Coturnix japonica: one gene and its partners. The protein of the gene in region 1 interacts with the protein of each later gene in a pairwise test. Links are inferred from orthologs where the notes say so. Each region holds a gene or a part of one and is shown on either strand. Other genes may lie near its edges. The genes, in order: CWF19L2, MEOX1, TRIM54, TRIM37, MTUS2, CARD9 and NAB2.

Region 1 (3,500 bases):
ATGCACGCTGGTATGAGTAGCAGGGATCAGTGCTTTATGAAGGGTGACAGGCATTGGTGGATACATATCCTGAGTGTTAAGACCTCATGCTAACTTCTTAAAGGAGAAGCAAGGGATTCCTCTTCAATTTTCTGAGAAGGAAAATGCACTTGTTTGTATTGGATAGATGTGCCAAAGAACAGACATAGGAGGTAGAAACACTGAGAAGGTTCTGTAAGTTCATTTATAAAAATCCCACAGCTTTTTGTGTGCTGCTTCTGTATTGGAAGATTTATGTTGTGTTCTGTGACAAAAGAGAAACTTAATCAATAGTATGACTGAGGTACACTTGACTGAACTTATAAAAATGTGTAATTGCATTATTATATTCCTTCTATTCTTCTTTTGCATCCCACCAGTTATTACATTAACTTCAGGTGAAGGTTTAATGTCACATAAAGAGCAAGATTTAAATAGAAGTAACTACTGAAATACAAAATTATGACTTCTCGTTATTTTCCATTTTAGTTACAGTGGTAGAAGATGCTGGTTTAAGTTGGTTACGAAAATCATATCAAAGAATGAAGGAGCAAGCTGAGAGAGAGAAACGAAATATTGAGGAAATTGTAGCTGAAAGATATGGGGTAAGGATCTTCAATTATTTTTTTTATACTAATAGGTGCTTGGAAATGGTTACTTTCATGTAAAAAGCACAAATACTTAATGTGTGGTGTCAGAAAGAAGCAGTAGGAAAGAAGCAGGAAAAGGCAGCCTCTTAAGAAGTGATGAAGAGTTAAATGCTATCCAAATTCATTTAATATCTTTTTAGTTTAATATTATACATACTATAAAATTATATTATAAACATTATAAATATTATTTAGATTTTAAATCCCATATATTGAAATAATTTCAGTTACAAAGTACCTGAGTGCATTAGAAAATTGTGATAGTTATTAGAAAATATAATTTTTTTCTGCTCATACAGCTTGTGGGTAATAATAATTTCAAAGTAATTTGGAGAACTACCAGATCTGAATCTTCTGGTCTCTTGTCCCTGTGTATTGAGAAAGCTGTATGCTTCTGAAGAGTTTAAAAACTCCTTTATTAAGTCTGCCATAACAATATTAGAATCATAGAATTATTGTATCATTTGAGTTGGAAGGCACCTTTAGAAGTCCTCTAGTCTAACTCCCCTGAAATGAACAGGAACATCTACAGCTAGATCAGATTGCTCTTTAAGGCCTATTCAGATGTGTGGGCTGATAGTATTTAATCTTGGCTGTAGTTTTATTTTTGAGTTCTGTGTTTGTGGTGTGTGTGGTTTTGGGTTTGGTTTGGTTGTGAAAATCTTGAGTAAGACCATGTGAGTTCATACAGTTGTTTTGTCGCTCCTGAATGATGAAACCAGCAACATCAGCACTGGTGGAAATCGGTTGGTGCCAGTGAATTTAAGGAATATTATTTTTAAGAGTCTTTTTCAAGAAACTAGGATTTAAACACACAAACACTCAAGCTGCTGTGGTACAGGGTAGTGATTGAAAGAGATCTTAACCAGGTATGCCTCAGTATGTACTGTTTTTAGATGGATCTTTAAGATCCCTTCCAGTCCAAGCCATTCTATGAAAAACATGTGTTTAATGGCATTTAACTCAGCTCCAAAGAAAGAAGAGGAACAGTTCACATTTTGTATATTTGGCTAATGGATAGGTTTTTGATTTTGAGCTTTTTCTCCTGTGTTTTTAAGGGTACAACTGGATGATAAAATAGTTTAGTGGGAGCATCCGTTGGTTCTGTAAAAACTGAACATCCAGTAAGCATAAATGTTAAGTCCATGAGCAGGTAAGAAGAAACCTTTCTTCCCAGCTCATGCCTCTTATCGCTGAGTTAGCTGGAAGAAGCAGTTCTAAAGCTGTGCTTTCTGTTCCCAGGAGTGTTCAGCACTTTACAGTAGAGCCACTGAATGAAAGTTAGAAACAGTCTAAGATAAGGAATCAGAATGCCTTCCCTGTGGAGCGCTTTAGACTGTAAACTATTAATCCTTTTTTTTTTGTTGTTGTTGTTTGATCTTCCTTTCCACTCCATGGCTCATGGTTCTGCACAGTGATACATTTTCACAGAATGGTGCCTTTTTTGTAATATTTCTTAGGGAGCTTTACAATATTCCACAAGTTTAAAAGCAGCATGATCTTTTTTGTTCTTTCTTGTAGTCAATGGAGGCATTTCAGTCACGGTTAGAAGAAGCTGAAAAAGTTGCACCCAAGAAGGAAAATGATTATAGAAGTGGTAGGTGGAGAAAACCTGACTACTCAGAACATGAGAAGAAAGGACATCGTATGAAAGATGAGACACGACACGGAGATGGTAGACACATGTCTGGGGGACATACAAGGGAGAAGTATGGCAAAGGATGGGCACAAGAAGACAGAGGTTACAAAAAAGATGGATCAAGTTTGGACCAAGAACGTGGACACAGCAGTAGAGACTCAGAACTGAGAGGCTATAGCTCCAAAGTAGAAAAACACTTGGATGAAAAGCGAAGTAAAGAGAAGAGTGTGTCTCTAAGTGACATAAAACATAAATTTCTGAAACCCTCTGATGATGACCCGTCATCCTACAGTGCATCTGGGGACTACAGGTCACACGGGTCTTCTTCAAAACTACCTCTACATAGCTCTTTAAGCAACCGTTTCCAAAAACCTAGTGAGGATACTCCGTTGTGGAACAAAACACACACGCAAGGTAACCATGAAAGATCGATGTCTGATCAGAAGCCATCAGATACTGCAGCAAAAAATGATGGTGAAAGAACTCAAAGTTTTGACAAAGAGAAATCACGAGAGGAGTACCCAGCCAGTATCCCTGAGAAGAAACAAACGTTGTCTGACAATGTAACAGCATGTTCTAGGTATTTTACAAACGCCTTTTCTTGCCTTTGGTTTGTCTGTATTGTTCATGGCAAAGCGTACCTAAAATGTTGTCTTTATTATCATAGTATCCAGTCTGTCCATGTCAGATCTCTTTGATTAGGTGGACACTTGTCCACTTGTCTCCCAGCTAGGCACAGCCAAAATGGACCTGTGTGGAATTAATGAACACCTCTCTTTCTCCTTGGCATATTTAAGAATTGCCAGTTACAGATTATTTTGCTGCTTCTTTGTTAGTTCACTGTACAGTAAAATTGTGTGTGATTGTTCATGGTCTGCATGTGTGGGGTGACAGGGTTTAGTCAGAAAATGTTCTCAAGTATAATTCCTTGTTTGTCAAATGCTCCTATCAGTTATTTGCATTAAAAGTTCTTATAGCAAGGTTATGGGTTCACTTTTAATGTTTAAATGTTGGATTCTAGTAACAAGACAATACCTTATAATTCTTTATTTAACATACAACTGTTCCTACACGTAGTACTTTCAGAAACCCTGCAGTGTATCTGCAAAGGTAAATTGTGCATTAAGGCAATACTGTGTGACTAACTAAAGACAAGTGGCTGAGTCTACACAGTTCTTTGTGTTGCACAGGTT
Region 2 (4,266 bases), on another chromosome or scaffold:
CCCCAGCATGACTTCGGTGGGTGAACACAAGTGAAATATTCTGCATTGACAAAACCACTCTAGGCTATACCATGGACCCTTCTGGTGCCCAAAATATCCACACATCCTTTGCCACCTGGCCTTCCAGACAGAGCAATCTGTTCTTTTTCCTCCTGCCAGGCAGTGGGAAACGTGTCTGAATGTTTGCTCTCTGAACAGATTGAATTATGTAGGAGAGCCCTTCCTGGAGGATGATTTGTGTTTGGCATTTTGCAAGAGAGTCACATTAATGTGAAGGTAAAAGGTGATGTTCTTGATCAGAAAGATCTGGGCTAAGCCCACCTGATTGCTTGGAAAAGCCCAAGCTATAACCCAGCAGGGATTGGGATGAGCAGACTTCTCCCTCCATTTGATTCCTTTAAATGTCACAACTCTGAATTATACAGAAGCCAAATAAAAGTAGCACTTAAAGCACTTAAAGAAAGAAAAACGGAGGCTCTGTGCCCATCTGATAAATCCCTCTGTGTCTACGAGAGCACAAACTCAGCCCAAATGGTGGGATAAAGGGAAAGAGGCGCACACCTATAGGGAGGCATAGCAAAGCAATGGAGCAGGTCGCAAGCAGATTACAGAAACACAGCACATGTGGCTGTATAAATTACCCCTAAAAACACACAAACAGTTGCAGTAACCCCAGTGCAGCCCTGCAGTGATATTTGGGGTGTTCCCAGGTGCCAACCCTCTGTGTCAGAGGGATGGAGAGCAGATTCCCTGCTAACACCCATGCAGCAGCAGCGGCAGCTCCGGGGTCTGCGAATCTGCTTTGTGTTAAGAAGAACCATAAAACTTTCAGCAAAAGATGAAAAACACGTCTCACATTGGCACAAAGGCAGATTTCCTTGTAGGAAGGAGTGGCATAAAGTAGGATAGAGAAAGAATAACTGCCACCAGCAGTAACCATCAGCAAATACAAGTGTTACCGAGCTAAAAGAACAATAATCCCTCCAAAACTTTGCACGTGCACAAAAGTCACCTAAAACAAAACGTTACAACCAGGCCTTAAATCAGTAAATAATCAGTGAAGTGCTTTCTTACTTTTATTTCCCACTTCGCTTCTTGGCTTCAGGAATCTGCTGAATTCCGTATGAAGGGCTTTTTCCAACCTCAAAACTCGGGGAATTTTGTTAACAGTGCAATAAAAATAACTTCATAGTGTCACAGGGAAACATTAAAGCCCTTTTTTGTGCACTGCTCTTCCCTCCCCCCTACCCCTTTTTTTCTTTTTTGGGGGGGAAGAAAAAAATACAGACATTGTTTCTTTAAAAGTCTCCATCTGCAAATCCCATTAGATGTGCATATAAGGTTTCGGATGATTAATAGGTGCTGCTTTGCTTTGGTTGGAGGGAGCGGGTGTGTGTACGTTAACCCCTCCCTCCCCTCTCTCACATTTCACTTCACAAAGTTGTCACTCTCTCCCCAACATAGTATTTAAAAAGTGTTTCCCTCATGTCCAGCACTTCACAAGGACTCCAGCATCAGCTTTGGGACTCTGTTTGGGGCGATCGCCTCCTCCATCCATTTGGGACAATGAACACCTCAAGAAGAGTTTCCAAACTAACAAACCTCCAACCTCACAAACCCCCCAGCCAAAGTGTCGTTTAGGGAGGAAATCTGGGCTGTCAAATCTGGAAACATTTCCCCTCCTCTCCTCTCCTGCTTGAGGAACCTGAGTGACGAGCGTGGGACGAGGATGAACCCCACCGGAGGCAGCTGCATGCGCAGCCCCCAGTCCCCAGCCCCACTCTGGGGGTGCCTGCGGGGTGCCGACGTCCCCACAGCCCCAGGGTTGGGTCACTGCCCCCCAGCCCCTTTCTCCTTCCACCCCAAGGTGGATTTTGCTGCTTATTCTGAATTCTCAGCCTCCTGCTTGCTGAGCTCTGCCCACTGCGTCCCACCTGAGGAGCAGCCCCCAGCTTTCCGTCCTCACTCTGAGTGGCAGCAAGCAACAACAGAGGCCAGGAGACTGCTGAGCCCAGGGCTGGTGTTGGCCTCTGGGGACACAGAGAGCCCCAACGTCGTGAGCACAGCAGCGGGTGTAAGTGAAGATTACGAGGTGCCAGTAAACAGCACGATGGAGACAGAGAGAAAAGGATCCAAAAGGAAAAAGGAGCACTCAGGTAGGTGGCGTGGAAGTGGGGGTGTGGGGTGGGATGGGGAGAATATCTCATGGAGTAAAGCTGATGGAGGAAATATTTTGTGATTCTTGACTAGGGAAAACTATGCAATATCTCAATGGAAATGAAGTTGCTTGTCCCTTGATGACCTTTGGTGTTTGAGTTTTGCTCCTTATTGGCTGAACCCAACCCTTTAGGCAGCAGCTCAGTGCCAACTCAGTGCCATGCTGCGCTCAGAGCCCTAGGATGGCAGATCCATCCCACTGCTCTGCTGCAGTCCAAGGGTGATAGAATGGGGATCAAAGGGCTAAGGTCCCATCAGCTGCCCGTGCTAGCTGGGAATGCCACTCTGGGGTTTTGAACTGCCCACCAGTAGAATGCCCAGCAACATGGGAAACAATCAGTTTTCATTGTGCCATCCTTGCCAACAAAGCACCTTCTTCCTGAAGCATTCAGGAATTACAGACATAAGACATCTGGTTTGTTACTATTTCAGTTCTCCCGATATGTGAAATATGCAGAACATTGCTTTCTCCTAAGGAAGCTGTTAAGATTCAGATGCTTCCATGCAGACATTTTCTACAGTATTCATTTGCAAACCACAGAGTATTGAGAAGCAGAGGGTATTTTCCAGCATCCCCATTTTATGGTTTCAGAGCCAAGACATGGAAATGTTTCTAAGATGTAGAAAAGATCAAAATGCACTTAAATCCTCAAAACTTTCTTTAAAGAACCAATAGATTCAGAGCAGCTACAGAACGGTTTCACTGTGTGATAGTAATAGGAGTATCTGCAGTAAGACCTCACGTGTGAGCACACACATCCCCTTCTCTTCCTCTACCAGTGTTCATTATTTAGATGCCATTTTCAGCCCTGGTGTCCCAGGCACAGCAGTGACCTGAAGATGTCAGTTGGCTTTGGGGGAGCTTTCACAGCTGCCCCTGTGCCTGCCACCCTCTATTCTATGCTGTACAATTTAGCAAAGCATTTATAGAAACCCCTTTGCAATTACAGCATTAAAGAGGCTGAAAGGTGTTGTAATGACTTTGGGCTTCATACATCTTTCATTTACTACCAAGGAAAGACCTAACAACACCACTCAAGCAGCAAGGAAATTCCAAGCCCTAACCCTAAACTAAATTAGCCTTTAAAAGCATAAGATAAGCACTGAAAGTTCTGGGATGCCCACTGGGTGGAGGTTGAGTCTAAAGAAACGCCTCCCTCTGATTTCACACGTTGAATGTTGTTGAGAATGGCCAACTGCAGACAGGCAGTTTGGATACCCCAACTTTAGCTGATGATTAAGGCATGAGCTGAAGGATAAGACAGCAAGAAATAGGCATTGCTGTAATGATGTGTAGTAACATAGTGATTCTGACAACTTTGCTAAGTCATGCCTTTGGGTAAAGAGGGTGCTTCATGCTTTCAGGTCCCATTAACAGCCACAATGGCATAGAAAGCAGAACATAAGGGCAGGTAGAAACTGAAAACCTGAGCAAGAAAAGTGTAGGGAAGTCCCTCAGCAATTTAAAGTGATCTGGGGGCAGAGCTCCATCTGTCACCACCCCGTGTGCTCCACTCCATGAGGTGCCCACTGAAGTTACTTGTGGTTATTACTTTATCGCTGGCTGCCAAATGAATCAGCTCCCCATGAAGTCACTTCACTTGGCCAACGTTCCCAAGAGCTTTCAGGATTTTATGCCCCGTGTGACAGCAAAATCCATCTTACTACTTGATTTGCAATAAATCTGCCCTCAAACTCTTTACTAGGGGGAGAAAGCAACGTTATGCAGATACTTTGGATTTTTATTATGCCTTCTGCTGAGGGAAAAACTGCACTGACAGTGGTTTGCAGAATAACAAGCACCAGGTGCCTCCACCAGGGCTGTGGATCACCACAATGACCAAACAACCTGTGTTACCATTGGTGACCCCCATGCTTGAGCTTAAGCTGCTCTGAGGGATCGGAGAACCCCCTGAAATGCCCAAATCCTGCATTGTGTGGTCCTTTCACCTTCCCCAAAGCAGTTTGCCAGCTAAGCCTCTCTGCCATACATCTCCTTTCAACACCAAGTGGGGCACTGCCTGCTCTGTTCCCAGAGGCTATTTCAGA
Region 3 (3,943 bases), on another chromosome or scaffold:
GAGCAGCCCCATGGGTCTCATGGCAATCCCAAGCTCTTAGGGCATATTGGGGGTCTCGGGGAAGCCTCGGGGGTCTCTGGGAAGCCTCAGGCTGTGACATCCCATCCCGCAGGCCCTGGCGCTGTGCTGTGGTTTGCTGACCTGCTGCTGCTGTTTTTGCTGCTGCTTCTTCTGCTGCGGGAAGTGCTGCCCACCCCGCGAGGACGAGTCCTATAAGTACGTCGACCCCAAGGACCTGGAGGCGGACGATGGTGGCGGTGAGTTGGGGTCCAAAATGGTGACCCCCCCCACGATGCTCCCGGCTCACAGAGACCTGCAGGGGGGGCTGCACCGGGCTCGGGGGCTGGTGGGACACGTGGGTTGGGGGCTCTCTCGGTTTCCTTAACAGAGGAACAGAGACATGAGGGCCGTGCTGGTGCCAGGGGCAGCCCCGGATCGCTGCCAGGACCCCAGGACTCCCTCCTGGTTCCACTGACCCACACATTTTCTTTCCAGACCCACAGGTCCCGGTGGAAGCGCAGCCCCCCGCAAGCAACGCCCAGCCCCTGCCTGCTGCCGGAGCCAGGAGCGAGGCATAGGGCCACCTATGTGCCGGAGGGGGGTGGGGGGTAAAGCCTCCTCCGGGACCACCGCCGCTTCCCAAGACCCCATCGTGGGGTGGGGAGGGGGGTGTACAATCTCAGGTGAAACCGTCCTACAGCGCTGTGACTGAGACCGGTAGCACTGTAACCCCGGGGCCGGACCCCCCTGACGGGAGCTGGGTGCCAAACGCTGCTCTGGGGCTGGTATGGGGGGGGAGGAGGAGGGGTCGGAGAGGGGCCTCCCGTCGCGCCCCACTCTGCCTCGCCGTGGGGCCGCACCGCGCTCGTTATGGGGCTGGGACCCTTCAGGCACTTTCCGTGGGTTTGTATATGTTATATGGGCACCATTAAAGGATGATGGGGGGGAGCTCGGCGGTGTCGCTCTCTCGTCTCGGAGCGGCGGCTGTGGAGCCGGGCTGGGGGGGGGCAGCGCCGTGCCGCTCCCGGGGGGCGTCGGGACGGAGTGACCCCGGCGGTGGGACGGCCGCCCGCCGTGACTCAGTGTCACCCGACGCCGCCGACAGCTGCGCGGCCCCGACGGGGCGGGGGCGGCTAAAATTAGCGCTGCGGGGCCGGAGCGGGGCAGTGAGGGGCCGGAGCGGTACCGGAGAGGTACCGGGACCGCGGCGATGAACTTCGCCGTGGGGCTGAAGCCGCTGCTGGCGGAAGCGCGAAGCATGGAGAGCCTGGAGAAGCAGCTACTGTGCCCCATCTGCCTGGAGATGTTCAGCAAGCCTGTGGTCATCCTGCCCTGCCAGCATAACCTCTGCCGCAAGTGTGCCAACGACATCTTCCAGGTGCGGGGCGCAGGGACCGGGCTGTGCCCGGGGTTGGGGGCTCCGTACACGGGAGGAGGGGGGATCTCTGTCTCGGAGCGGTTCGCTAACCCCTCCTTCCCCCCCTGCCCTGCTCTCTCCTTTCCCCCCTGCCCCCCCAGGCCTCCAACCCGCTGTGGCAGTCCCGGGGTTCCGGCGCGGGGCCGTCCGGGGGCCGGTTCCGCTGCCCTACGTGTCGCCATGAGGTCCTGCTGGACCGGCACGGTGTGTACGGGCTGCAGAGGAACCTGCTGGTGGAGAACATCATCGACATCTACAAGCAGGAGTCGGCGCGGTGCGGGGCGGGACACGCGTGGGAGGGAGCCCGTGGGGATGGGGGGGGGGTGATTGGGGCTAAAGGGGCTCAAGGGCACCGTGGGGTGAGGTGGGGCGGGGGATGCCGTGGCTTGTGTGGTATGGAGGGCTGTGCAGGGGACACGAGGGGGAATGAGCCTGGGTGGGGGGGTATTGGGGCTAAACTTGTGGGGCTGGGGGTGCAGTGAGGCGGGGGATGCTACGGGGCAGAGGTGTGCCGTGCCGTGGGGCCGTGCCGTGGGGCCGTGCCGTGTGCCGTGCCGTGGGGCCGTGCCGTGGGGCCGTGCCGTGGGGCCGTGCCGTGGGGCCGTGCCGTGGGGCCGTGCCGTGGGGCCGTGCCGTGGGGCGCAGCGCCCTCTCCCTCCCGTCGCAGCCCCCTGCACGCCAAGGCGGAGCAGCAGCTGATGTGCAAGGATCATGAGGATGAGAGGATCAACATCTACTGCGTCACCTGCGAGGTCCCCACCTGCTCCATGTGCAAGGTCTTCGGTGCTCACAAGGACTGCGAAGTCGCCCCTCTGCAGAGCATCTTCCAGGGCCAGAAGGTGGGTGACCCCCAGAGCCGGGGGGGGGGTCAATGGAGCGGGCGCGGTGGGAGGGGTTTCCCGGTGCGACCCCCGACGCCGCTCCGCCCCCCAGAGCGAGCTGAACAACTGCATTTCCATGCTAGTAGCGGGGAACGACCGCATCCAGACCATCATTTCCCAGCTGGAAGATTCCTGCCGCAGCACTGAGGTGGGGCTGCCCTGTGTGTGCCTTCCCCCCCACACCCCCCCCCCAGGCCCCGCGTGTGGGGTCTGCGTGGTTCGGGACCCCCACCCGGTGTATTGTGCCCACATGGTGGGATGCTCCTGGGAGGGAAATCCCCACTGCAGCCATGGAACGCGGGTGTCCCCAGGGCACAGTGACACAGGGGTGTCCTGTGGGGCCGGGCTGGGAGCGTGGCAGCCCCCTGAGCCCCCGGGGGGGGATCCTACAGGAGAACGGCCGGCGGCAGAAGCAGCACGTGGGGCTGCGCTTCGACTCGCTCTGCAGCATCCTGGAGGAGCGCAAGAAGGAGCTGCTGCAGAGCATCGCCCGCGAGCAGGAGGGGAAGGTGCAGCGCGTGCGCGGCCTCATCCGACAGTACGGGGACCACCTGGAGGCCTCCTCCAAGCTGGTGGAGACGGCCATCCAGGCCATGGAGGAACCTCAGATGGCCGTGTACCTGCAGGTGCCTGGGGGGGGCTGTGTGCGGGGCGCCCTGCGGCTTGGTGCGCTGCTCCTGGGATGCTGACGGCACTCTGCTTTCCCCCACAGCACTCCAAGGAGCTCCTGAAGAAGTGAGTGGGGTAGGGTGAGATGGGATGGGATGGGATGGGATGGGATGGGATGGGATGGGATGGGATGGGATGGGATGGGATGGGGAGGGGGATGAGATGAGGATGGCATGGGGGGGTGGGTGGGCAGGGCTGATGCTGCTTGCTGTACCCCCAGGATCACAGACATGTCCAAGGTGTCGATGAGCAGCCGCCCTGAGCCCGGCTATGAGAGCATGGACCACTTCTCCATCAATGTGGACCATGTGGCTGAGATGCTGCGCACCATCGACTTCCAGCCAGGTGCCAGCATGGGGCGGGCGCTGCCTTGGGGAGGGGACTGCAGCAGGGATGTCCTCACACTGAGATGTGCCTCTGCCCCACAGAAGCGCTGGGTGAGGATGATGGAGATGGACCCACAGACAGCAGTGAAGGTGCAGGGGATGAGGAGAGCCTGGAGGCACCTGAGGCTGCTGAAGGTGAGAGTGTGTTGTGCTGTGCCGTGCTATGCTGTGCCGCAGTCACCACGGTGCTGCCGTGGCTGCGGCGTGGCCATGTACGGTGCATGGTCTCACCATGTGTCCCTCTCTCCACCTGTCCAATGCTTTTTCTCTACAGATGTGGGGCCAAGGCAGAAGCCATTGAGCTCTCCCCATGGTGAGATGCTCTGTGGGGATGAGCAGGGTGTAGGGATGGGATGGGGATGGGATAGAGATGGAGTGGCAGGGGATGGGATGAGGATGGGTGGGGATGGGGTGAGGATGAATGGGGATGAGGATGGGTGGGGAGGGGGGGAGTGAGGATGGGGATATGACAGGGATGGGATGGGGATGGGGTAGCAGGAGATGGGGTGAGGATGAGTGGGGAGGGAGGAAGTGAGGATGGGGATAGGATAGGGATGGGGTGGCAGGGGATGGGGTGAGGATGAGGAGAG
Region 4 (3,972 bases), on another chromosome or scaffold:
ATCCATTTATCCTTCACAGAAATTAATTCTTGGTTCTTTGTTGTTGTTTTGTCCAACTGGTATCTGACAGAGCACGTCTATTAATGCACATCACATCTCACATCCACATCAGATCATCAGTTCCTTGTGTTTCACTGTGTGTGTAGTGATAACAACAGTCTGGGGGGAGAATCTCCCTCCTCTCCTTCCTCCTTGAGCCCGTTGGGAGCTTTGTTCATGAGCAGTGCAGGTTTCCTCCTCCTTCGCCCTGATTTCTGAAGCACCGACTATCTTCTGTTTGTAACCTTTCAGAGTCGCAGTTCAAACCGCTGACTGAAGAAACCCTTCAGAGTGTGCCCAGGAGTATCAGAAGCACCGTTAAATTAGCAGACTTGAACAACTTGTACAGGCATCTATTTAACCACTTCGTCACAAATAAGAACAGGTAAGTGCTTTTTTTTAACCATTTCCCATCAGAGCTGCTGCTCTGTGTCCTGCCGTGCTCAGCGCTTCCTTCTTGCCTTCCAGAGCGGCGCTGAGCATCTCCCAGATGAAGAAAATGAACATGAAAGTCACTGACACGAGAATACGAGTCCTGAAAGAGCTGGGGATTGTGGAGCTGGACAAACAAGGCAATGTCAGATTGGTCGTGTAAGGGAAGGTCTGGTCTGTGACACACTGTGCCTCGGCCATAGCTCCTGTGTGACTGGCTGGGTGTTGGTGGCTGGGAGCTGCTGGGGCTGTGAGATCTGTGCACTAATCCTGGTTCTGGGACTTAAAGAGCTGCAGAGTGGAACCTGTTGAGGTTGGCATTTGAACGTGGATGTTTACAAGGCTGTGGTATTGCTTGCGTTCCTGAGCGGGGCTTTGAAGAGGAATAGCCTGGGAATACCTCAGGAATACCTCAGGAATACCTCAGGCCACTTCATTGAGCTCACATTCCTGAATAAACGCTGAAAGCAAAGCGGTGTGTCCACAGATTGACTGCTGTGCTGTGTGTGAGTGCTGCGTTTGGGTGGTCGATTCGCACCGAACAGAAGCAGGTTGTGTTGCCATGACGGCAGAGCTGTTCCCCCCTCTCCCACACCGTCATGGCGTCGTGCCTCCCCGCGGCCGTTCCCTCCGTTCCCGCCTCCACCTCATCCCGCCCCGCGGCCCCTCCGCGCGTGCGCAGTGCGTTGCGCAGGGCGGGCTCGTTGCCGGCCGGCTCCTCCCCATCGCCGCCACTATGGCTGCGGCCGGCCGGGCGAGGGGCGGCGTTGCGCTGCTTGGCGGCGGCGGCTCGTAGCGCTCCGAGCGCTCCACGCTTATGCCTTGTGCCCCTCGAGGGCCCTGCGGTCTGCAAAGCGGCGGGGGGAGCCCGGTCCCTCCGGGAGAACCGCGGCCATGGACGAGCAGAGCGTGGAGGTGAGCGCTGAGCGGCGGGCGGCGGTTGCGCTTCCTCAGGGGCGCGGCCCAGGTGTGTGTGTGTGTGTGTGTGTGTGCAAGGAACGATCCCATCGTTACACGGCTGTGAGGTGTGCGGGGCCTGGCGCTGCGTTTGCTGAGCTGGGCGTTGTGCGTGTGTGAATTGTGTGTGTGTGTGTGTGAAGCAGGCGGTGACAACAACCCCGATCTGCCCTTTTCCAGAGCATCGCCGAAGTGTTCCGATGTTTTATTTGTATGGAGAAGCTGCGCGATGCGCGGCTGTGCCCGCACTGCTCCAAGCTGTGCTGCTTCAGCTGCATTCGGGTGAGTGTGCTCCTCCTTATCACTAACTGCTGCGACTCTATCAGCTCGGAACTGCTCTTGGCAATGCAGTGTGTTCCTTCTGGCCCTCCTTGTGCTGTGAGCACTCGGTGTCACTGCGCAGTGCTCCCAGCAGCGTGTTGTGCTCAGCAGCCCTCACTGCAGGGGCTGTGCGAGGACCTATTAAGGAACAGCTGCGTTGTGACCCTTCCTTCAATGTTCGTTCCTCAACTGTCTGTCTTTGTGTGGAGCTTTCTGGAGGAGAAACATCCACAGGGTCCCCAGTGGTCCTCATTGCAGCCTTTAAATACCTGAAGGGAACTTACTCCCAGGAGGGGAGTAAACTCTTGGAAAGGGCTGACAATAGCAGGACACGGGGAAATGGTTTTAAGTTAAAAGAGGGAAGATTTAGGTTGGATGTCAGGGGGAAGTTCTTCACTAGGAGAGTGGTGAGGCCCTGGAACAGGCTGCACAGGGAGGTTGTGGATGCCCCGTCCTTGGAGGTGTTCAAGGCCAGGTTGGACAGGGCCATGGGCAACCTGATCTATGGGGTCTCTATGGGGTCTATGGGGTCTGTGGGGTCTCAATGGGGTCTATGGGGTCTCTATGGGGATCTATTGGGTCTGTGGGGTCTCAATGGGGATCTATGGCGTCTCCTGGGCAACCTGATCTAGTAAAGGTGTATGTTTGGTGGCCCTGCCAGGCAGGGGGTTGGAACTACATGATCCTTGAGGTCCCTTCCAACCCGGGTCATTCTGTGATTCTGTGATTGGTTTGATTGTTGGCCTGTAGGTGTCCAACTTGTGGGCCAGTAGGGGGAAATAAGTTGTTTGTAAGCTGGTCTTTGAGGTATCTATTTGCTGCAATATGTTTGTTGGCCCGTAGCTCTGGGAACCTGCACCAGGTCTGTATGCGGCTTCTGCTGGATCATTGGGTGCTGCAGAATTCCTGCCTTCATTTGAACCAGATAGATTCGAGGACTGCAGCTGTTTCTATGACACAGACAGCAGTTCCTTTTGTAACAAGTGGTTGAATGCTTCAATTTCCAATCTCTACAGAAGGGAAAGTAGAAAATTAATGGGAAGAATTAACTCGTAAATAACAACAGATTGTTCTTGCTTGCAGTTCTTTCCCTGCTGTTTCTTCAATATTTTTCCTTTTTCCTCCCCAGCGTTGGCTGACAGAACAAAGAGCTCAGTGCCCTCATTGTAGGTAAGGGATTCTGAATGCCAGGAATGTGTTACCTGTGTGAATGGAAGGTGGGGGGTATTTTCCCTTAAAGAAGGGGAGGTGTTTGAGAAAACAGCCAGTCATTTTTGCAGAAGTTCATATTCAGCTTTTAAGGTATTTAATCGATAGTTTAAATAGAAAGGCTCATAAGGTGGTATTTCTGTGTTTTATGGAGGTGTTCACAGAGGCACAGCTGAATAATGGGCGGAATTGAAGTGCTGAGAAATGAAGTATTTTCCCAGTGTTACCCAGGAATACCTGAACATAATGGTAGTTCTGGTGTCCCTGCATAGCTGTGGGCTGGTTTGATCTTCCTTCCTCCAGTAAGAACAAGTCAGCTTCAATTGCACTGCTGTATTTCTGAAACAACTGTTGACTTTTTGAGTGACGTGGACTTGGCGAACTGATCTCATCTCATTGTGCTTTTCTAGCTCCCAGAGCACAGTTCTTGCTGTAACTCTTAGCAATGCTTCTTGCAGAGCCCCACTGCAGCTCCGGGAGCTTGTCAACTGTCGCTGGGCAGAGGAGGTCACGCAGCAGCTGGATACCCTTCAACTGTGCAATCTCACAAAGCACGAAGAAAACGAGAAAGACAAGTAAATAGAGCATTCCTCATGTGAAGGGTTTGCAGTTTGCTGCATGGGAATGAGTTTCATCGTGTTCTTATTTTAAGTCAGGGAACAAACTTAGTTGTCTGATTGAAAAGCTGAATGGTGCCACTGCTTAATGGATGTAATCAGTGTTCTCTCTGAAAGGTGGAGTTCATTTCTGTTGCAATAGCACACAAAACTCCTAAATTCTGTAATTTCTCATTTGGATGAGTAGAGCTTACATGAGAGAAAATGTGAGAAGAAGCATTGAAAAATGGGCAGAGACTAAATGTGTGTTCTGTGCCTTCTTCTCCAATTCCTGAAGCTTGGTGGAGGAGCAGGGAGAGACACGGTGGAGGTTTGCCTGGGCTGTGCTTGTGCATAGAACTGACCTTGATTCAGTGGCAGTAATCTCCACCTGCTGGGCTTAAATCTGGTTTGATGA
Region 5 (3,500 bases), about 4.5 Mb from region 1:
GTCAGGTCTGAGATATCTGAGGCACAGTGAGGACATAAGGTGAAGATGGTCACCTAATGCGTGGGAATGAGGAAAAGACAGAAGCATTTAATAGTGTGGGGTTTTTTGCCTTAGTTTGTAATATTAATGCTACCCAGTCGTTGAGTTGAAGAATCATGACTGGGGGAATAAAACTTTCCATTCACCAAAATAAATTGCAAGTATCAGCTTATCATTCATCAGTCCACGGGCCTGATGGATTCACTTCATAGTACTGAGGGAGCCAGCAGATGTTACAGCTGGATCCCTCCCAACAACTTACCAAAGGTCTTGGGAGTCTGGGGAGGTCCCTGCCAGCTGGCTGCTAGCCACCATCATACCCTCCTACAAGAAGGGCATGAGAGAAGACCCAGATAATTGTCAAATTACTAATGCAGGACTTTTCCTTTGAGCCCACACTGACTGTGCCTGGTAATTGGTAATTTGATATAATTCTATGTATTATAACATCACTGCTGAGTGGATGAAGGGGATCTGATTGCATCAGTGGATGTAATCTTTCTGGACTTTAGTAAGGCTTTGATGCCATCTCTCACAGCATCCTTCTGAACAGACTGTCCAGCTGTGAGATGAACAGGATCTTGTTGTGCTGAGAGATGAACTGGCTGCAGCTCAAAGTGCTGCAGTGAATGGAGCTGCATCTGGCTGGAAGCTGCCACTGGCAGTGTTCCCCAGGCTCAGTTCCAGGGCCAGTTCTGCTCAACATCTTAATTGGTGATCTGGATGTATCCTTAGCAATTTTCCTGATAGTACTAAACTGGGAGATGCTGCTGAGTCCCTGGCTGGAGAGCAGCTCAGCAGAAGGGATCCACATCCCTGTGCAGGTGACAGCAGCTCAGCATGAGTCAGAGCACAAGCAGAGCAGTGACTTGTGCAGCACAAAGGAAGAAACCCACCAATGCCCCCTAATAGAGCTGGAATTTTAATACTTAATCTTGTCTCTACAGTAGTGCTTTAAAAACTTCAGTAGCATTTCTTGGTGCAGTAAAGGTCAATATCTTATAGCAGTATGAAAGTGCTCAGAGCCTTGATGTGGGGTTCTGTCCTTAGCTGCTTACAGCAATCAACAGTTTTAAATCTATGTGTCAGTAGCAACTTGCCTTCTAACCAGGACAGTTTTAACTATGTCTTCTCAAGTCAGAGATCTGGGCTACATTAGGAAGCTCTGCTGAGGGCAAAGCTGTGGCTGAAAGAGAATCTGAACTGTCCGAAAGCTCTCCATTTTGGAAAATTTGCCACTTTTAACCTTATTTTTAGTTAGTATAACTCATGATATTCATGTAACGTAGTCTATTTTTTTTTGTTTTCTCATAGGTTGGCTGGATTAACTGGCTGTCATTCAGAGGGAACTTGACAGATCTATTTTGCTTTCGTTGAACCTCTCTACTGCATTCATAAGGATTTCCTGGATCCAGAAGCTGCACTGGAGGCAACTGAGCAGCACAAAAATGTGACTTTGACAAGAGACTCCGAGCCTTCTGCTGAGGAATTTCTTACTGATCAGTTTGTAATTTAAGCCTAAAACTGAAGCACGCATAATAGTTTGTTAATCTGATAGGGGACAAAGGCTTTCTCATTACCTAGGGCTGCCAAAAAGGCAGTCACTGGAAGCTTCAGAATGAGTGCTCCATTAGTCCCAAACAAATCATGTTATTCCCAGCTTCAGGACAATCGCAGTGAGATAAAAAATAATAATGAAAGCACAGTGAGCGTGGGGGATAGCAATGCCAACCAAATCATGACAAAGATTAGAACCACGGAGGGGGAAATCAAGAAACAGGGTTTGACAGATGAAGGTGGAAATGTACACTCTGGAGGATCGGAGAGAGTTACTTGTCTGGATACAGAACAGAATAAACTGGTGCTCAGAGACTCTCGGACCTGTAACACTGGTATACAAGAAAGTAAGCTGCCTTCAACCACAAGCAGGGAAATAGGGAAGGACAGCAGGGCCAGTGAAGTTAAGGATATAGCAAGGCATATCAGGATGAGCCGAGGACAAAGTCTGTCCAGTTTAAAAAGCAGCACAAATGATGCTAACCTGGAGATCATTTCTAAAGGTGATGTTGACTTCACCCAGAATTTTCCTAAGGGTAAAATGTCCAGGACTGTGGAGATGGAAAGAATAAAAAGGCTCTCTTTGGGCAGACCCAGTAAATTTTCTCCTCAATCTGAAACACTTACAAAAGAATGTGTTGGCCGTGTGTCTTGTAAACGTCTGCTTTCCGCATCATTGGATTCCATTGACAGGTCGCACCATTTGATTGGAAATACAGAGAAATCACAAAAAACTTCCACAGATCATTTTCTTGGGATGGTGTTTCATCCACTCGACAATACCTCAGAGGAAAATACTGTCTTTTATTCCAAACCATCTACCTCAGGGAACAAGAAAATAAGTAAACCAGAAAACGTACCAAATGTTAACACCGAAAGCACACTGCATACTTCTCATACCCATCATCATTCAGCTGTTAAGCCCAGTGAGATTGCTAGTAAATCAGAAGCACAATTAAGTCAGGGTGATAAAAGTAAGAAGCTGGAGCTTAAGGCTGTGACATCCCTACAATCTAAAAACACATGTCAACAAAAGACTGAGAGAATTATGGTGGTAGAGTTTCTGGGATGTAAAAAAGATGGAAGTACAACAGTAAAAGAACAGAAGGAGTCTGGCTCTGACGCATCAACATTTCAAACATCCCATTTTCAAGACATCTGTGATAAAGCAGAGGATCCTGTGTCAAATCAGGTTGTAACCTCTTCTGATGACAGACTGCAAAGTGATAACTTCACCATCCACGGGGAAGGAAGAGAAGGACATGACAGTGACAGTGGGGCAGCTACCCAGCTTAGTGAGGAAGACAGAGAAGTGGAAACAATATTCCCACTCACCTGTGATGGTAATTCCAGTAGCAAAGTGACACCTATTAAAAACAAAAATTTACATGAAGATGATGCAGGCTGTGCTGAAACAGTTGGTGAACAGGTATCTCACATACAAAATGTGTATCTTCCTGATAGCAAACCCTTGCAAGTTAATGAGGATAAACTGATGCTGGTCGAAGGAAGCACTGAGGAAGCTGCCTTGCCTGCTTCTGATCTCTCTGAGCATGACAGAGTGTGCAGCACAGAGACAGTGTCAAACCAACAGCCTGACGACCATGTCAGTGACGTGGAAACCTTCGTGGTTCCAAGTAAAAAGACAATCCCTGCCCAGAAACATCCTCCAGATGAAGCACAAGAGAGCTATAAGGTTTCGGCAAAGGCTGACACTTTTTTATGTGTTCCAACTCATATGCGCCCGGTGGCAGTGCTGGATGTTAACAGTCAGCCCACACTATCAAACAGTAATTTGAAGGACCTATATGCACTTCCCATTGACAAACTGTCACCCTCCTCAGTCCTACCTCATGCTGACAGTACGCAGATGATGAACATATCCCCCAAAGTGCCTATGAAGA
Region 6 (2,684 bases), on another chromosome or scaffold:
CTGTGCCATGAAGAATCGAGTCTTCCCCTTGTTTGAGGCTGGGCCTTCTCACAAGGGCAATGTAGAACCAGCCTGTTGTACCCATTTAGCACAAAGTCTCAGCTCCCCAGAACACCAGACTTCCTAAGGAACATAGAGCTGGGGAAAAGCTTGCACCATGCTTGCCTGATAAATGGGGAACTCTGCCACGAGAGCACTGCTTTTGCAACCAGGCTTTTGTGTCTGTTACTGATGAGCTCTGAACCTCCTTGTAGATTGACAGCTTGAAGCATAGCCTCATGAAGGCTGAGGATGACTGCAAACTAGAGCGTAAACACTCAATGAAACTGAAGCACGCCATAGAACAGCGTCCGAGCCATGAAGTGATGTGGGAGATCCAGCAGGAGAAGGAGTTGCTTTTGGCCAAGAATCAGGAGCTGGAGAACACTCTCCAGGTTGGTGGGGGGGTGACTGGGTGAGGAATCTAAAGAAATTATTCTTCTATGCAGCCAGCACAGCGATGGAGCTGTACTGAGTGTTTTGAGGGTCAGCTATGGCCTTGTTCTCCCAAGTTGTACAGAGAGCACGTTGGATTTCAGAGTTAGATGGTTGCTGTATCTTTTGTTCAGCAGGTTGCCAGAGAACAGAATTTGGAGAAGAATCTCTCCCGTGAGACTGTGCAGAATGACTGCAGCCAGATACTGGAGCGCAGGGACCTGCTGAACACCCTGTACCACCTCCGCAAGGAGCTGCGCCAAGCCGAGGTGCTCCGAGACAAAGTGTGTGGTGCAGTACAAATCCCTGCTGGGGCTCAGTGGGGTCAGATGGGCAGATTAAGCACATAAAGTGTCTTACCAGTGAAGCAGCAGAGCTGCGAGGCAGCATTCGCTGATGCTTCTATTCTAGGGTCTGTGTTGCAGTTTGAGGGAAAAGATGTGCTAATATTCTAGTGGTCTGAGTCTGTGACATTAACTGTGTTACCTGTTGATGCCTGTGCCTCAGCCTGCAGGGTGATGGGAGCTTATATCATGATTGACAGCTCAGGTACATGTAAAATCTGCCATGTTAGCAGGCTTTCTAGTCATACTGCCTGGTCTTCTGGTTGGCTTTGCTCCGGCAGGGCAGTCTGGCTTTGGTGTTGCAGGGAAGTCTGGCTATAGCAATCTGTGATATAGAGCAGAAGTGATGAGATTCTAGCTTGGGCTCACCCCACAAGCCATGTCTCAACAGTATGCAGAGGAAAAAGAGATACTTGAACTACAGTGCATGTCTCTGAGGAAGGACTCCCAGATGTATAGAAAACGGATGGATGCTGTCTTACAGCAGATGGAGGAAGTGGCTTCAGAAAGAGACCAGGTGATAAAACGTTCCTCCAGAAGCTGCTGCTAATCCCTGGCTTGCTGCTTGAAGCAGGCAGGTATTGTAACCCTGAATGTGGTGTCGTGCTACAACACGTTGCCTCTTACACCAGGCACTGCTGACCAGAGAACAGTTCTACATGCAGTACTCAAAGAACCTGATTGAGAGGGATGCTTATCGGAAGCAGATTCGGGAGCTGGGGGAGCGATGCGATGAGCTGCAGCTGCAACTCTTCCAAAAGGAGAGTCAGCTACTGGCTACTGAAACCAAGCTGAAAAGGCTGCAACTGGAGCTGCCTGCACTGGTATGTTTGTGGGGTTATTGTGTGTGATGAGTTGGAAAGTGTTGAGTCTAGGATCCAAATAAGACTGCTTTGAGACACTGAGACCTAACCAATCCGATTTCAGCAAGCAGTGGCCACCTGCTTGGGTAACCATTTATTTCTGTGAAGACGTGATGGTTCTTAGGAGCTCACCCTGGTCTGCTGAAGCCTTACACATTTGGAGTGCTTCCAGACACCATAAAGGCATTGTCACCCACTAAAGAGTGAACTCTGGAGTCTGTACAAGCCATTTGGGTGAAATAGGAGCAGGGTATGAGAGTTCATGGAATTAAATGAGACATCTGAAGACTTGTAATTATTGTGGCATCTTATGTGCTTTCTCCAAATGGTCAGATGAGTGTAGGAGGAAGTTAGTTCACATTTCTATCTTCTGGAGCTTTTGATGTCCTCTGTGTTCCATTGCAGCCATTTATTCACTCATGAGGAGTAACAAACTTACTGGTTTTATTTCAGACTTCTGACCTGGATGACACCTCCTCCAGAGATTCCCAGGATGTGAGTAGGGTGCCTTGTTTATGTTTCATTTTCTCCTGGGATGGTTTCAGCTTCCTCAGTTGCGCTAATTCCCAAAGAAGCAGCAGTCTGTGCTCCATGGGTCAGGCTCACAGCAGTGACATCAAGTCCTGAGGCAGCAAAGCAGGCTAACAGCTAAGGGTGGCTTCTCCTTATGTCCTGAGACTTCTGACCATGGGGATGCAGCTGTGATAAGATTTAAGTCCAAGCAGACCAGAAGATTCAAATTATTTTGCATTGCTTCTAATCTCTCTCTTATGAGAGAATGTGCAAAAATAAGTATTATCCTGAGAACATGCGTAGAAAAGAGGGTTTTGGTTTTTTCCAGCTTAGTTCATAACTGTGGTAGGGGTTGTCACATTGTCTGGAGACAAAATGAATGAGCCCATAGTCATGGAGGATAAGTCTGTGTGTAGATACACAGCTTCTAGTTCAGAATGTTTCCTGTTTTGCTTACAGCAAGATGCAGTGGGGGAAGGTCGGTTATATG
Region 7 (4,042 bases), on another chromosome or scaffold:
CCCCCATTCTCGCACTCTCCATCCCCCCATCTCACACCGCCCTTAACCCAGACAGCCCTCAACCCGAGACCCCCAACCCCTCTCCCCCATCTCATCCATTTCCCCCCCGTTTCCCCCAGCCCCACACAGACCCCAACCCGGACCATACTCACTCCCCCCCCCCATCTTCCATCTCCATTCTCCATCTCCCATCCCCCTGGTTCCCCCCAGTCCCGCCCTCACCCGGGGACCCCCACCACCCCCCATCTCCACCGCATTCCCCCAGCCCACAACCAGAGCCCTTACACCGGACCAGGCCCCCAAACCCGGAGACCCCAACCCCCCGCCATCCCCACCCGAGACTCTAAAGCCGGATCCAGGCTATGGCCGCTCTATGACTCCATTATAGGCCCCCACTAGGCCCGCCCGCTCTCAGCCCATAAAGGCCCATTGTTCCGCCCGCCGCTCACCGGCCCCGCCCGGCGGAGGAGGCAGCGCGAGGAGCAGCAAGAAACACGACCAGGCCCCGCCCGCCATATTGGCACCGCTTTCATCCGCTTTCCCGCCATGGCGTTCCCGGCGACTTCCGCTTCCGCTTTCCCCACGGGACAACACCCAATGAGAGAGCGAGGCTTGCCTGACGTCATCAACCCGTGACGGGATTATCGTCTCCCTGCGTGTTGATTGACAGCGCGCTCGACCTATCAGCACAGCCTAGGCAGGATGCGGATTTAGCCCCACCCACACTCCACCAACGTGCTCCACTCGCTCCCGAAGCCATCCCACACCGTAGGCAACGCAGCCCGCCTTAGCAACGAGCTTGGACAGAGCAAGCCCACCTCAACCAATCAGCCGCTCAGCATCGTTTTCTCCCTCCCTCGCCACCAAGCCGGCTTGATTGACAAGCTCCTCCACCTTATTCACGGAGCGCACCGTCGTTGTTTTGCTTGGGGGGGGGGGTCTACAGCGGGCAGAGGCAGCGCGATGCTCATTGGACCCCACACTGGGGGGGGGGTGGCTCGTAGGGGCTGGATCCCGGGCTTGTTAACCCCCCCCCCCCAATACCCTTGGGCTCTTCGGCATTCCGTGGGCGGGTCGGGCTCACGGGCCGGCCCCCGGGTCAGTGGGCGGCGGAGCCGGAAGCGTGCGGGTCGTGGTGGAGGATGTGCGTCAAACGGGGGCGGCCGGACACGAGGGGGGGGGGGGGGTTGGACATGCATGGCCCTGGGGGGGGGGTCTTAGGGATTCGGACATAGATGGGGTCTATATGGGGTTCGGAATATATGGGCTCTATATGGGCTCTATATGGGCTGTTCCGAACGGGACCCCCCCCCACCTCCCCCCGACGGCTCCGGAACGCGGCGCTGTCGTGTCCCCCCCCCCCACGCGGGGCAGGGGCCGCGGGGGCGGCGGCGCCGGCTCGGTATAAATAGAGCCGGGCTCAGCATGGGGGGGGGGGGGCGATGGCAGAGAAATTCCTCCCCTCCCACGAACCGAACCGGACCCGCTCTGTCCCGGGGCTGCTCGCTCTGAAGCCCCCCCCCCACCCGGTGCCCGGACCCGGCTGCGATCCCATAACCGGGAGGTGGCACCGACACGGTGACAGCCGTGATCCCACTCACATACGGTGTCCCCCCCCCACCCCCCGTAGGCTCCGGTTGCTCGAGCCCCTGCCCGGGACCCCCAACCCCCGTGTCTTCACGTTGCTCTGCCCGACGGGACCCCCCGGTTCCGCCCTGCTCGCAGCCGCTCCCTCCGTCCCGGTTCGGTTCAGGGGGGGGGATGGGGCGGTCCTACGGTTCCCCCCCCCCCGTTTCATCCTCCCACGCCGCGCTCAGCGGGGGCGGCAGCCGCGGGTTCCGCCTCCGGAGCCTCCCACGCCGCAGCCGCAGCCGGGGCCGCTGCTATTTCTCGGTACCGCCCGTGTGGGCGGCGCGCAGAGCGGAGCGACTCGGCGGAGCGAACGAGCACGGCCCGGAATCGGGACCCCCGAACACCCCCCCGAGCCCCCCGGTACCGTCCGTCCATGCCCACGGGGTTCGCGTAGCGGCCGGACGGGGCTGCAGCCCGCGGTGAGAGAACGGGAGGGAAACGGGGGGGGGGTCGGAGGGTGAGTCGTGACATCGGTGTCCCCGTGGGGTTGGGGTAGAGCTGGGTGTGTTTTGTTGCACGTGGGGTGGGGGCACGAGTGGGTTCGTGATGTGGGAATGGTGGGGGGGGGTTTATGGTTCTGCCGTGGGGACCCACTCGTGTCTGTGTTGGGATCAGGGGGGATGCGGGTGTGGGGTCCAGCCTGATCAGTGAGCACGCGTGGGCCTGGGTGCAAGGTGGGGTCTGTAGGGGCCAAAGAGGGGGGGGCTGAGACTTTGCTGTCCCCGTGGGGTAGAGAAGGACTGGGGCAGCCCTGGGTGTGCTCTGCCCTAAGCGGTGCCCCATGGGGTGGGAGCACGGGTGGGGCCACGGGGTGTGGGGTCTCCAAGCTCCTCAATGGGGACCCACTCGTGTTTGTGTTGGGGTCGGTGCAGCTGTGGATGCTCAGTGGAGACCCCAGGCCAAAAGGTGGGTGGGGGTGGGGGGGGTCCGTCCGTCCGTCCTTCCCCCGTCACGCCGTCCGTCCGTCTGTCCCATAGGCTTCACCATGGCCGTGCCCCGCACGCTGGGGGAGCTGCAGCTGTACCGGGTTCTTCAACGTGCCAACCTGCTGGGTTACTACGAGACCTTCATCCAACAAGGAGGGGACGACGTGCAGCAGCTTTGCGAGGCTGGCGAGGAGGAGTTCTTAGAGATCATGGCGCTGGTGGGAATGGCCACCAAACCGCTGCACGTCCGCCGACTGCAGAAAGCGCTGCGGGAGTGGGCGTCCAACCCGGGGCTCTTCAGCCAGCCGGTACCGGCCGTGCCCGTCAGCAGCATCCCCCTCTTCAAGCTGAACGACGGCCGCAAATCGCTCAGTAACGGGCACAGCAGCCCCGGAGAAACTGCGGGGAAAGGGGGGGGCAACGCGGGGACGCCCCCAGCCCGCAGCCCAACGGAGCCGTCGGAGAAGTTGTCGCCGTCGGGGGTGTCGCCGTGGCCGGGGAGGAGCACCCCGGAATCGGAGGGTGGAGGGGATGAGGAGCCCGGAGCTCCTCCGTTCTCACCGGGGGGCGCCGAGCAGCCGTCGGGGGGCGATGTGTTGGAACCGGAGTTGGTGCGGACGGTGACGGAGAGCGTGGAGAGGCTGCTGCAGAGCTGCCCCCGGGGGGGGGACGCGGAGCTGCGGGCTCTGTTGAAGCTCAATAAGAAGTTGGCCAAAGCCGTGGGGCACATCTTCCAACTGGAAGACGGAGACCGGCACAAGGAGGAGGAGATCCGACGGCACAGCGCGATCTACGGGCGAGGGGATGCGCGGCGAAGGGAGGGCAAACAGCTGACACTGCACGAGGTGGGGGGCGGGGTGGGGGTCGGGCTGGGCTGGGGGCTCGCTGTGACCCCCCCCCTCGGTGCTATTGACGGCTCTGTCCCCGCAGCTCATCATTAACGAGGCTGCGGCTCAGTTCTGCCTGCGGGACAATTCGCTGCTGCTGCGGCGCGTCGAGCTGTTCTCGCTGTCGCGACAGGTCGCGAGGGAGAGCACCTACCTGTCCTCGCTCAAGGTGTCCAGGTGAGCAGGGGGGGCCCTCAGCATCCCCCCCCCCCCCCAGTGGGGGTTTCCCCTATGGGAGCTGCACCACCGGCAATTCCGGGCGGGGGTGGGGGCTGCGAGTTCCCCTTTCCATTGCTGAGGCAGTTTGGTGCCTCAATGTGTGTGTGTTGGGGGGGGGGGCACAGCACAGGGGATGCTGTTGGAGCCCCCAGTCCCGAGCTCCTTTCCCCCCCCCCACCTCCATAAGCTGGCGCTGCTCTGCTCCCTCCCCCTGCCCCCCCCGCCCCGGTTCCATCTGTACCAGACCCCGCTGTGCCCCACAGCACCGCCCCATAACGTGAGTGGGGGGGGGGAACCGTGCGGTGCTGCCCCCGCACTGACGCAGCCCTTTGTGCTCCCACCCGCACAGGGCGCAGCCCGAGGACGGCGGGGCCGGCG

Evidence for each region.
Region 2: the proteins of CWF19L2 (region 1) and MEOX1 interact in binary tests that used the Homo sapiens proteins (3 or more experiments, as listed by UniProt). The two-hybrid records come from large-scale screens. The link is inferred for Coturnix japonica from reciprocal best matches to the Homo sapiens genes CWF19L2 and MEOX1.
Region 3: the proteins of CWF19L2 (region 1) and TRIM54 interact in binary tests that used the Homo sapiens proteins (3 or more experiments, as listed by UniProt). The two-hybrid records come from large-scale screens. The link is inferred for Coturnix japonica from reciprocal best matches to the Homo sapiens genes CWF19L2 and TRIM54.
Region 4: the proteins of CWF19L2 (region 1) and TRIM37 interact in binary tests that used the Homo sapiens proteins (3 or more experiments, as listed by UniProt). The two-hybrid records come from large-scale screens. The link is inferred for Coturnix japonica from reciprocal best matches to the Homo sapiens genes CWF19L2 and TRIM37.
Region 5: the proteins of CWF19L2 (region 1) and MTUS2 interact in binary tests that used the Homo sapiens proteins (3 or more experiments, as listed by UniProt). The two-hybrid records come from large-scale screens. The link is inferred for Coturnix japonica from reciprocal best matches to the Homo sapiens genes CWF19L2 and MTUS2.
Region 6: the proteins of CWF19L2 (region 1) and CARD9 interact in binary tests that used the Homo sapiens proteins (3 or more experiments, as listed by UniProt). The two-hybrid records come from large-scale screens. The link is inferred for Coturnix japonica from reciprocal best matches to the Homo sapiens genes CWF19L2 and CARD9.
Region 7: the proteins of CWF19L2 (region 1) and NAB2 interact in binary tests that used the Homo sapiens proteins (3 or more experiments, as listed by UniProt). The two-hybrid records come from large-scale screens. The link is inferred for Coturnix japonica from reciprocal best matches to the Homo sapiens genes CWF19L2 and NAB2.

The regions. Positions count from the first base shown.
Region 1 is NC_029516.1:161,551,275-161,554,774, forward strand, and holds part of CWF19L2 (CWF19-like protein 2), read left to right. Parts: intron 1-507; coding exon 508-623; intron 624-2,189; coding exon 2,190-2,887; intron 2,888-3,500.
Region 2 is NC_029542.1:2,906,934-2,911,199, forward strand, and holds the start of MEOX1 (homeobox protein MOX-1), read left to right. Parts: upstream 1-1,466; 5' UTR 1,467-1,729; coding exon 1,730-2,156; intron 2,157-4,266. UniProt on the Homo sapiens protein: Mesodermal transcription factor that plays a key role in somitogenesis and is specifically required for sclerotome development. Required for maintenance of the sclerotome polarity and formation of the cranio-cervical joints.
Region 3 is NC_029518.1:95,417,684-95,421,626, reverse strand, and holds the start of TRIM54 (tripartite motif-containing protein 54), read left to right. Parts: upstream 1-1,143; 5' UTR 1,144-1,210; coding exon 1,211-1,378; intron 1,379-1,518; coding exon 1,519-1,691; intron 1,692-2,084; coding exon 2,085-2,256; intron 2,257-2,350; coding exon 2,351-2,446; intron 2,447-2,690; coding exon 2,691-2,924; intron 2,925-3,010; coding exon 3,011-3,033; intron 3,034-3,187; coding exon 3,188-3,312; intron 3,313-3,395; coding exon 3,396-3,488; intron 3,489-3,627; coding exon 3,628-3,666; intron 3,667-3,943. Other genes in the region: DNAJC5G (dnaJ homolog subfamily C member 5G), read left to right, coding at 113-257, 496-578. UniProt on the Homo sapiens protein: May bind and stabilize microtubules during myotubes formation.
Region 4 is NC_029534.1:5,943,805-5,947,776, reverse strand, and holds the start of TRIM37 (E3 ubiquitin-protein ligase TRIM37), read left to right. Parts: upstream 1-1,172; 5' UTR 1,173-1,365; coding exon 1,366-1,386; intron 1,387-1,608; coding exon 1,609-1,710; intron 1,711-2,878; coding exon 2,879-2,919; intron 2,920-3,416; coding exon 3,417-3,533; intron 3,534-3,972. Other genes in the region: SKA2 (spindle and kinetochore-associated protein 2), read left to right, coding at 292-424, 508-634. UniProt on the Homo sapiens protein: E3 ubiquitin-protein ligase required to prevent centriole reduplication. Probably acts by ubiquitinating positive regulators of centriole reduplication.
Region 5 is NC_029516.1:157,080,212-157,083,711, reverse strand, and holds part of MTUS2 (microtubule-associated tumor suppressor candidate 2), read left to right. Parts: intron 1-1,353; 5' UTR 1,354-1,657; coding exon 1,658-3,500. UniProt on the Homo sapiens protein: Binds microtubules. Together with MAPRE1 may target the microtubule depolymerase KIF2C to the plus-end of microtubules. May regulate the dynamics of microtubules at their growing distal tip.
Region 6 is NC_029532.1:6,405,231-6,407,914, forward strand, and holds part of CARD9 (caspase recruitment domain-containing protein 9), read left to right. Parts: intron 1-254; coding exon 255-434; intron 435-608; coding exon 609-758; intron 759-1,209; coding exon 1,210-1,335; intron 1,336-1,450; coding exon 1,451-1,642; intron 1,643-2,134; coding exon 2,135-2,176; intron 2,177-2,512; exon of another isoform or gene 2,513-2,684. UniProt on the Homo sapiens protein: Adapter protein that plays a key role in innate immune response against fungi by forming signaling complexes downstream of C-type lectin receptors.
Region 7 is NC_029544.1:1,653,891-1,657,932, reverse strand, and holds the start of NAB2 (NGFI-A-binding protein 2), read left to right. Parts: upstream 1-1,242; 5' UTR 1,243-2,051; intron 2,052-2,609; 5' UTR 2,610-2,617; coding exon 2,618-3,403; intron 3,404-3,488; coding exon 3,489-3,622; intron 3,623-4,013; coding exon 4,014-4,042. Other genes in the region: NEMP1 (nuclear envelope integral membrane protein 1), read right to left, coding at 450-516. UniProt on the Homo sapiens protein: Acts as a transcriptional repressor for zinc finger transcription factors EGR1 and EGR2. Isoform 2 lacks repression ability.